Linked DNA regions of Drosophila melanogaster. The protein of the gene in region 1 interacts with the protein of each later gene in a pairwise test. Each region holds a gene or a part of one and is shown in the gene's direction. Other genes may lie near its edges.

Region 1 (5,231 bases):
GCATCAGGTGCTTCGTGTGCTCGTTGTACTGCCAAGGACCGTCGACTGTCCCCAGACGACACACGGCCAGTTTGATGCCCTGCCGATCGGCCTCCACGCAGCGCTCGCCGACGCCCAACTGGCCAGCGGCATTGAGCCGAACCAGTTGATTATTTCCGCCTCCATGGCAGTATGTGAGGCCCATGATGGCCGGCGGCTGGTGGCCCATCGAGTCCAGGCATCCGTCGGAGGCCACCGAGCGCAGCTCGCCCCAGTGCAGGTTGGCCGGCAGACCCGGGAACTTGTCGTACACATCGTAGGCGATGTGGTCCATGAACCACTGGAAGCTCTTGCAGTTCAGTCGCTTCTTCAGCGCCAGTTGCTCGCTAATGTCGCCCATGTCCAGGTAGCGGGCAAGCGGCTCGCGCGTATAGAAGTACTCCTTGTGCGTGTCGTCGAACCACGTCTCGATGACGCGCTTGTAGTTGATCGTGATCAATGGACCCTTCTTCTTGCTAGCCAGTTTGCCGAAATTGTAGGGCATAAAGCCGCGATAGACGTGACCCACGCGAGAGCATGGCACCCACTCGATGCTGCCGCCACACTGCCAGATCTTGAAGCTCAATTCGAAGTTCTCGCCGCCCCAGACCAGCAGACCCGGATCGTAGGCGCCCAGCTCCAGGAAGTACTCCCTATTGATGGCGAACAGGCCGCCGGCGTGCGTGGGACTGCGATAGGGTTCCGAGTTGTGAGCACGGCGGCGCTGCTCGCGACGTGGCACCTCGTTCTCCTTGTACAGCATGCCCCATTCGAAGATGCCGCGGAAGTGGTTGTCCGTGCCATAAACCGGCCGGTACTCAAAGTTCTTGTGGTCAATGCCATCGATAATGGGCACTGTCATCACAGTGCGATCCCGGTAGATGGGCGCCAGCAAGGGCGGCAGCCAGTTGGTGTTTACCTCGCAATGGGCGTCCAAGAAGACGATCACCTCACCTGCGGGATGCAAAGCAGTTTAGTGTTTGTGTGGATATTTATAAGGTTGTGGGTTAATATGATGATTTAAAGGATGATGCTTTAAAATAGTAATTTGTAAATTTCTATGCATACTGTTTATGCTAAAAGGCTTGTTTGAAATCGACGATAATCTTGCTTCAATTGCAATGATAGGCAATTCTATTATGCTGAGAAAATGTAAAAGAAATTCAATGAGTCTGCAGTTTAAAGGTTTATCATTGCCACAAAGCGGAACGTGAAGTTATCTTCAATTCAAATTCCAAATAGCTGGCGTTTCAGCGTTTGATGCAAACATCTCAAGATAAAACTATTGTTTTCCATACAACACGTTCTTTTAACTATGCGATAAGCCGTCATGAGTTATGCAAGTTATGCAAGAACACATAACAATATACATAAATGAGATATGGGCTATACGCACCTGTAGCCTCCATGGCTCCCCTGGATCTCGTTCGGATGAGACCTTCGCGCTCCTTGTTCCTGATGACCTTGACCAGCCCCTTGAACTGCAGCACATACTCGTCCAGCTGGCTGCGCAGGTTCTCCTTGTCGGAGAAGTCATCCACCAGGATGATCTCGTGCAGCATGTGCGTGGGCGAACGATCGATGACCGAGTGCACGGTGCGCATCAGCACCGAGAAGCCCTCGTTGTGGAAGACAATGATGACGCTCGTGCGCGGCAGATCGAAGGGGTAGTCCCAGTGGCGGCACTCTTCGAGCCGCGTGTCCCGCACCGATCGGTGCATCGATATCTCATCGGAGCAGGCGATGTTCATGCCGTACTCCATCTCGGAGGCGTCCGACATGTGCTTCTTGTCCGGCGACAGGCTGTGGGCCTCGCCATTCTCGCCAGGCCCGCTACGTGGCTTCACATCTTTCGGCTCAAAGTTGCCAAGGCCTGAAAAACGCAAAAACAAATTGTGAGTGTGGCGCGTGCAAATTACCTATGCAAGCTTACAGCAATTGTTTAAATATTGGCCCAGCCACTCACTGTATGCGCTTGCAGGAGGTGTGGGTTATAATTTCAGACTTATGCATAAAGGCGGGGTATTACAGACCAATAATATGCCATCATCTAACCATCTTATGGTCATATGGAATATTCTACGACTAGAATTAGCATTTGATACAAAAGACTAAAGACACACTAGTTTTGGTGGCTGTGCAGTAAAAATGACTTTTATGAGGTTATTTTCTCACTCTATCCGAATTTGATAGTTGGTTGGTTAGGGCCATTACAAAGCCGGTTTTGGAGAATGTATAATAGAATGCGATAAATATTTGAAATGGGCTCGTAAGTTAGACTGGGAATAGACTGTACGATATGGGTTGGAAAAGGTTATCCTTTAACCTCCAACCATACTTTACTCACGCTAAACGTGGTAATAAAGACTTCTTTGAATACTATGTAGCATACATGGCAAGTAATTAATTGGTTAAAACGAGCAAAAGCCGGTTTTAAGTGATATAAAGCAAAGATTACTGAATTCTTTAGCTGGGTTTGCAGTAAGCAAACAACTCGGTCTTTTCAACAATGATATGGTAACTACTCTGTATCCTTAGTTCTGATGATAGTCCTCCATAATAAAATTGTATAATACGTGAGTGAGGAATCTTAATGGCAAGGCTCACGTTATGGGTGACACAATCCTATTCTTTATCCTGGTCAAGGGCTGATATTGCTATCCTCGATCCTGTAGCCACTTACCATCGACCAGCTTGGGCACCTCCCTGGGCCTGCCCTCCAATCGCTGGTGGGCGAACTTGGGTCCGCCGAAGCGCGTGTGATACGCCTCCTGGACGCGCTTGTGGTGATCGCTCCAGTTGGCCAGCAGATACAGCAGCGGCAGCAGTACCAGCAGGCACAATGCCAGCCGGCAGATCCGACCGCTGCGGATGGTGCTCACGCGCATCTCTCCCTAATTCCGATTCCGATGCCCAGTTCCAGATTCCAGTTACAAAGTTCCAAATCTGTTGACGTGTCTAGGTGGCCAGAAAGAAAAAGCACGGCGCGGGAGACGGGAAGCGGTAAGCGGGGAGCGCGGAAAGGTGGCCACAAAGCAGAAAGAGAACAAAAGAACCACTTTTGGTTCGGATTCGAGATGCCGCTGAATGATCAAAGGCGCCCCGCCGATAATGACAATTACAAGTGCTGGGGCGAGAAGCTAACTGGAGTACACCAGCTCGTCCGCCTGAGTGATGCTTTAACTCGGTGCGGAGCAACTTGCCGGCGAAAAAGCGCCGCTGGCTTTGAGCAAATTGCGAGTGCAGGTGCACGAATATTCGCGGTGCAAACGTAAACAAAAAATGGTAGAAAACGATGTTCAACTGGTAAGAACGCGTTATGCCGTTTTTTCTATCATCGCCCAGGCGTTAGGGCTAAATTAGGCACCAGCAGCGATAGGCGGCTGGGCGATAACACAGGGTGGTGAAAATGGATTTTTTTTATGTATGTGCGCAAATAAGTCTAAATGCTAACTGAAAGTTATAACGAAACGCTTGCTGCTGTTGTTTAACTATTCGATATGCCCTAGTTCCATTTAGTGTTAAATATGTTTCAGCGCTGCGCAATTCAACTTTAGGTGGCTGTCATCGATAAAGGCCACAATCGATAACTCCTTTGTTTATGCCAGGGCGCAAATTTGTAAATTTAACCTAATGGGCTCACATCAACTCCACTTTGCCGTTTTTGGCTCCTGCGGCTTTGAAGCCGATACGCTGGTGGAGATCTCCGGCCCAGGGAACAGTGGCAAAAGCCTGGTGCTCCAACAGTTGGTGGCCCACTGCCTGGTGCCCTACAAATTCGGTGGTCGCCAGTGGAGCGTCCTGCTGATCAATCTGAGTCACAAGATCAACCGTGAATCTCTGGCCAAGAGCATTAGGATGGAGCTGAAGGCGTACTCTGTCGGCGAAGTGATTGCTGCGAAATGCCCCACGGAGGAGCAGCTGGCCGAGATTGCGGGCGAGTGCATGAGTCGCGTGCGATTCCTCAACTGTTTTGCAAACGATGATGTTTCCACGTCGCTAATCGACGCCCGCTACGCGATCATCAATGATCCTGGCATACAATTGGTTGCCATGGACACACTCAGCGAATTCTACTGGCTAGATGAGCCTAAGATTGCCAAGAGAATGTCCATGTATCGCCACTATCGATTGCTCCAGGCGCGCCTGGAGAAGCTCTGCAAGGATGCCATCGTCTGCGGCATGTACACGGTGGAGTCTGCCTTTCTGGAGAATCGTTTTGGCGAAAACTTGCCCGAGGCTGGCATAAAGTACCATGTCAGGATGCAGAAGATTCAAAACCAGATCCTCTTGAATGGACTGCCGCTGTCGTTTAGCAATGGAATTCATTTGGATACAAATACTAGCAAGGAAATTACTGAGGCATTGCTGACTCAGCCCAGTTAACATAGTTAAATTATTATTATTAATCTTAGGACAAAATGATGCTAGGAACTGAAAGAAGTAAACGATTGTATATAGAGTATATAGAGTTGATTAAATTGTATATAGAGTTGATAGGTTAAGAAAATTGTATATAGTTTAACAATTTAACTTTAATAATATCTTCCTTTTAGGGATTAGAAATTATATTTGTTATTACTCCTTTATTAGACAATTTCAAGGCCTATGAGTGAGAAAGTAATCTGTGCAACTAATTAAGTTAAAAAAAAGGTATAACTTCTACATTATCTAGATAGTTACGAACTCAAATATACTTTAATTTCCGTGATATCTTCCTAGTTTTACCCGCTCGAACAAAGAAAATTATAGTCCATATAGATCTAGAAGGAAAGTTCGCTTTTATGACTTATTCCATTCAGTAATATATTTAATATTATATATCAGTAATATTATCTTAATTAAAAAAAATACAACAGTTCTTTAAAATTGTGTTGAAACCTTCACTATGTTCTTTTTTTGTTTTTGAAGAAGGCCAACCCTACCAGAATTATACTTAAAACTAATGATTTCTAAAAGCTATACATAAGTAAGGTGGTTTTGTTTAGCAGTTTTTTTTTTCGTTTTCGTTTTCCTTTTTTATCGTTTTCTTAGCATTTTAAGAAGAAGCAATATGATGGTGTATGGTAATGGCAATTAAAATGGAGAGGAGGGGGGGGGGGGGGGCTTTTTAATGTTATCCGCCGATTGATTTTGGTAGTGCTTAAAAGCCGGTAAATTAGTAAAAATTATTATTAAATACAATCATTAATTTAAATGTAATTTCAATAAAT
Region 2 (5,477 bases), on another chromosome or scaffold:
GTCGTGTGTGCGTGTGGTGCGCTGCTGGTGGTGGTGGTTGATTGCTCCGACTCTTTCCTCCTGCTCTTCCTCGGAGACCCTTCTTCAGACTGTTGCGCCGGCGCACGGCAACAGCACGAGGAAGAGAGACGCCCGAAGAGAGCGCGCTACTAGCTCGGGCGAAGATCCGAAGAACGTGTTATTGGACCCTAGTCAATACACTGAAAATAACTTTAAGGCATTCTACTATTATGACCAAGGTTAAAGAAGCTTTGATTAAAAATAAATTAATTTCTAAATATATAAAAGTTTCTAAAGTACAATAAAACTATTTTTTCTTTGTTTATACTTATCGTTGTAAGATACTTTAGATGCATGAGAAACTTTGGTTTCCAGAATGGACATCCAAAGAGTATGCTTCGAAACTTGTATATTTTAAAAGTAGTTTATATAAAGTATAGATTTTAAAAATTGTTCTCTGCCACATATGGATTGTTTTCAGTGCAAGAAGAGAGCCTCAGCGGCTTCCGCCCGATCCAATTTTTTTGATGTTGCACACGTGCAACGCCGAGGGAATCTTGCCACAAGCAGAGAGTGACCCGATTGATGCTTCGTTGTGATCGTCGGCGTGTAGGAGCGTTGTGATCGCAGTGCGTGGTGGCAGTTAGGGGAGGATTTCGATTTCGCAAGTGTACGGCACCAGCAGCTACAAAAAGGATCAGCTTACCTTGCGGCAAGATCATTTCTCAAGTGACTACCGTGCAGTGCGGAGCGGCAGCAGCGACATCGCAACATCGCAACTTTATTTACAAACAATCACCACACCAAATCAAAACCCATTATACACAATGGCCGTTCAGGGTCAGAGATTTATGACCAAGACTCAGCATTACCGCAAGGTGACCAAACCCCTCCTGGAGCGCAAAAGACGCGCCCGGATGAACCTGTATCTGGACGAACTCAAGGATCTCATCGTGGACACCATGGATGCGCAGGGCGAACAGGTCAGCAAGCTGGAGAAAGCTGACATCTTAGAGCTCACCGTCAACTATCTGAAAGCGCAACAGCAGCAGCGAGTGGCCAATCCTCAATCCCCACCACCCGACCAAGTTAACCTGGACAAATTTCGGGCCGGATACACCCAGGCTGCCTACGAGGTCTCGCACATATTCTCTACGGTTCCCGGCTTGGATCTCAAATTCGGCACCCACCTGATGAAGCAATTGGGTCACCAGCTCAAGGACATGAAACAGGAAGAAGAAATCATCGATATGGCCGAAGAACCAGTTAATCTAGCCGACCAAAAACGTTCAAAGTCTCCGCGAGAAGAGGATATTCATCATGGCGAAGAAGTCTGGCGCCCCTGGTGAAGGGCATTCCATATATACGCAACCAATTAACATTGATAGCTTTACTACTCAGTTTCATTAAGAAACAATCCAAGTTTTCCAAGGTCTAGTGTAAACATTTGCCTCAGAATCGTATTTAGTTGGTAGTTGATTTGATATGATGTGATGTTCCTGTGATAGTTCTTAAGTTCGTATTTTGTATTTGATCTCCCATAGGCTTACTGATTCATGTATTTAATTCATTGTAATTTATTTCATCAACTTTGCAAGAGCTTCCCCACCGAGCTTCCACTTAGCCTCATTAAGAACAAATTTTTGTGTATGTTTTAAAATTATATTTTTCGCTTTACACCATTAAGTATAAGCCATGAACATTTGAATAATAAAATGAACGTAAACTGAAATTTTAAAAGCTTTATATTATTTGGAATATGAACATAAACAAGGTTGCTATAATCCATAGGTACATAGGTACAAAATGTTATAATATATATAATTATTATATTATAATTATAATTTATAAGCTCTTATTTAGCTTTCTTCGATATAAAAGATATATCAGATATATTTAAATATATTTCTAAAATCTAATTTGAAATATATAGAAAATATATATTTTCCTTGGAATTTTAATAATTTATAATTCTAAATACCAAATACCGTTATACTGTCCACTTGAATTCAAGTCAATTGAACTCTCCCCACTCCGTTTACAAATCCCTGTAATGCACCACCCATCCAACCATCCATCCATTACAAAGGTCCTGGAACGCGAGCAACTTACAGCCGAAAGTGTGTCCACAGCGAGCCACACGCGAGCAGCGCTCCAGGATCAGCATCGCTGGCCCCTTTTACATGGCGGATGGAGGGAGAGGCAGAGGTCCTGCCGGGTCGGGGGGATCGGGAAGTCGTACACGCATTAAGCGCACTCGACGCACACGAGCAATGTTCCCACAGGATCATAACAGCCGACCAACAAGTGCAGGATGCCTCTGTCCTTGTCCCTTCCTCTGCCACCAAACACGAACCCGATCCAATTTGGAATGCCAACGGTAAACAGGAAGTTGTCGAGGAATCGCAACGCCTCGTCCTTATCCTTATCCCCATCCCCCGGCGGAGGTCCCCGCTATCGTGGGAACCCCGGAGGACCCCGATGAGATGGCATAATGCAAGCAGTTCATTATCCTTATGCCCCTCACCCTGCCATGCCATAGTCAAATCATAACACACAAATCTAGAAACGGCAGCTGTTCGCTCTGCAAATTCCCATGCCCATGGCCGTGGCCATGCTCGGCTGCTTTTTGCGGGCAGGTGAGCGAGTCGATGTGAGAAACCGAGTAGGAAAGTGTTTCCCACGATCCTGGCAGCGATCCTGCTCCCTGGCCCGTTTGATAAGGGTGCCGGGGCCAACAATAAGAAATCGCCCGAACAATAAGGAGCGGTCTCAAGAAGCGGAAGGGTCGGTACCGAGCAACCCTCATGCCAGCACACGAAGCGTGTCCCCGTCCCTTTTGCTCCTCGAATGCCAGCACACACGACGACGACGACGATCCCTTTGGCCCATTTTTTGGGGGTTGTTTCTGGCCAGCTATATAAGGCCGATCACCGAAGGTCTAGCAACACACAACGACTTCGACTGTCGGAGCAGCAAGAGCTCAAAGAACTCAGCTTACATCGAAACTACAAAAAGAACAATAAGAAACACACAAAATGTCGTCGCTACAAATGTCCGAGATGTCCAAGACCTATCAGTACCGCAAGGTGATGAAGCCCATGCTGGAGAGGAAGCGTCGTGCCAGAATCAACAAGTGCCTGGACGAGCTAAAGGATCTTATGGTTGCCACCTTGGAGTCCGAGGGCGAGCACGTCACCCGTTTGGAGAAAGCCGATATCCTGGAACTTACCGTCACCCATTTGCAAAAGATGAAGCAGCAGCGTCAGCACAAGCGGGCTTCCGGCGATGAGAGCTTGACTCCGGCGGAGGGCTTCCGTTCCGGCTACATCCATGCCGTCAATGAGGTCTCCCGTTCACTCTCCCAGCTGCCCGGCATGAATGTCAGCCTAGGCACTCAGCTAATGACCCACCTGGGACAGCGCCTCAATCAGATCCAGCCAGCAGAAAAGGAAGTCTTGCCGGTGACCGCTCCACTCTCCGTGCACATCGCCAATCGGGATGCCTACTCCGTGCCCATTTCGCCAATCTCCAGCTACGCCGGCAGTCCCAACTCCAATACCAGTTCGACCAGCCATTCCCTGTTGACCACCATCGATGTGACCAAGATGGAGGACGACAGCGAGGACGAGGAGAACGTCTGGCGTCCCTGGTAGATAGGATTACTTCACACCACAACTGAAAAAAAAAAAAACGAAGGAGAGATCATAGAAAGTAAAAGTCTTCCGAGTCACTGGATTTCCACCAGTCGACTCCCACCTAGTTATAAGTAAACACCATAAACACACAAAGCTTTAGATGAGGACGCGCAGTTCATGTGATAACTAAATAAATAATAAATTATATAGCTAAAATTGAAAGATCACGACTTTTTCTGCCACTATCTAGTGACTCACATGCAAATTGCTCAGACACTCCCATGTCCAGACAGTTTCCAATTGTCTGCGGTCTAGAACGGAAACGCTAGAAACGCAATAGCACCTCTCTCTGTCCCCTGTAACTATTCGATCGCCCCACGGATGCACATACACGATCGTCGGACAAAAGAAAGCGAAAACAATGCCAAGGCCGAAACAAGAAGAATTAGGCAGAAGAACGAGAGAAGAAAGAAGTCCAAAGTCCAAAGCCGGGGCTACCGATACCGGGACATAGCCTATAGGCCAGTTGGTGGTTGCAACTCCAACACGTGTGCGGACAATAAGCGAAGGTAACAGAAAATATTAGAGTCTTATCTTTGAGCGTATCTAATCGAGTTACGACAATGTCGCTCAGACTTAGAAGAAAACAAATGGGCATAGAGCCGGCAAGGAACCCGAAAAAAAAACCGAAAACCAAAAAAGGGATCGAGTCATCATTCATCCCGCATCCGTCCTGATTTCGCTTTGTTCTCCTCAATTTTTTGTTGCCGTGATTCTCCCTGGCCACTCGGATAGAAAATCGTGTGCACAATGGTCAAGGTAAGCTATGGGCACATAATTGCTTCGGATCAGGTAAATGACTGCCTTGCCCTAGGGCAACTTTAAGATGGAGGAGCTCCAGCCGGGGACAGGATATCGGTTTTTTTGTTGTTTCTTTTTTATGGGCTCTGCCCGAGCCTTTTTTGATTTTCGTTTTTTTTTTCTGATCTGGCTGACCCAGCATCATTTGGTTATCTGTGTGCCAAGACCAGTAGCCGATTCACAGACGCCTCTGTCTTAAAAATCGACGCAGGGCAGATCGAGGGAATAGTCAACGAGATCGGTATCAGGATTGGCTTGGGACTAGTCTGTGCTGGCGGGGTGTAATAAATTTAAAAAGGAACTAAATTTATAGAGATTTTTCAGCTGATTAAAATTCTGTTAACTTGCTAAAGCCGAAAGTAGATTATCTTTAAGAAGATCTTCTTCACAACAGCCCTAAGTGTTTATACTTAATTTTACATTTCCGTCCTTTTTGTTTTCTTGTGTGCCAGCAATTATTTATGGAAATTAATAAGATTTATAGCTTATGGTTACTAGCTTATAAATAACTAAAAAAAAACGTTTATAATTTTTTAAATTGTTTAAATCCTTCTGAGATATCCTTTGTAGATAATACGCTAAAAATATTTGTATTTCACTTGCAAATTCTGTGTAATCTTAAACCCTATAATGTACTGAACAAGATCATTTCCTTCAATGTTTGGATGTCACTTCCACCCTGGGATAACATAAAGTGTAATAATGGACACTCCTTAAGAGCCATGTTAAATTATAGCTCACTTTCGATCCTAGGCCATTCCTGGATGATCCGATCAAGGCGACACAACTATGGACTCGACAATAAGAGGACCAACACCAATCCAAACCAAACCAAGCAAGCCCAGTTGTCATACCATACAATGGGCAATAAGAAAAAGTCGGTTATAGGGACATGCGGAGGAATCGCACCCAAAATGCCAAAAGGAAATGCTGGCACAAAAGATACTTAATCTTATAGGTAAACCCGATGAATGATGA

The links.
Region 2: the proteins of Xrcc2 (region 1) and E(spl)mgamma-HLH interact in a two-hybrid assay, tested with the Drosophila melanogaster proteins (one large-scale study listed by BioGRID).

Annotation. Positions count from the first base shown.
Region 1 is NC_004354.4:18,496,531-18,501,761, forward strand, and holds Xrcc2 (X-ray repair cross complementing 2), read left to right. Parts: upstream 1-3,596; 5' UTR 3,597-3,651; coding exon 3,652-4,404; 3' UTR 4,405-4,728; downstream 4,729-5,231. Other genes in the region: Pgant7 (polypeptide N-Acetylgalactosaminyltransferase 7), read right to left, coding at 1-972, 1,415-1,891, 2,702-2,906.
Region 2 is NT_033777.3:25,996,905-26,002,381, forward strand, and holds E(spl)mgamma-HLH (enhancer of split mgamma, helix-loop-helix), read left to right. Parts: upstream 1-2,946; 5' UTR 2,947-3,038; coding exon 3,039-3,656; 3' UTR 3,657-3,857; downstream 3,858-5,477. Other genes in the region: E(spl)mdelta-HLH (enhancer of split mdelta, helix-loop-helix), read left to right, coding at 828-1,349. UniProt on the Drosophila melanogaster protein: Transcriptional repressor of genes that require a bHLH protein for their transcription. May serve as a transcriptional regulator of the Achaete-scute complex (AS-C) genes. Contributes to the neural-epidermal lineage decision during early neurogenesis.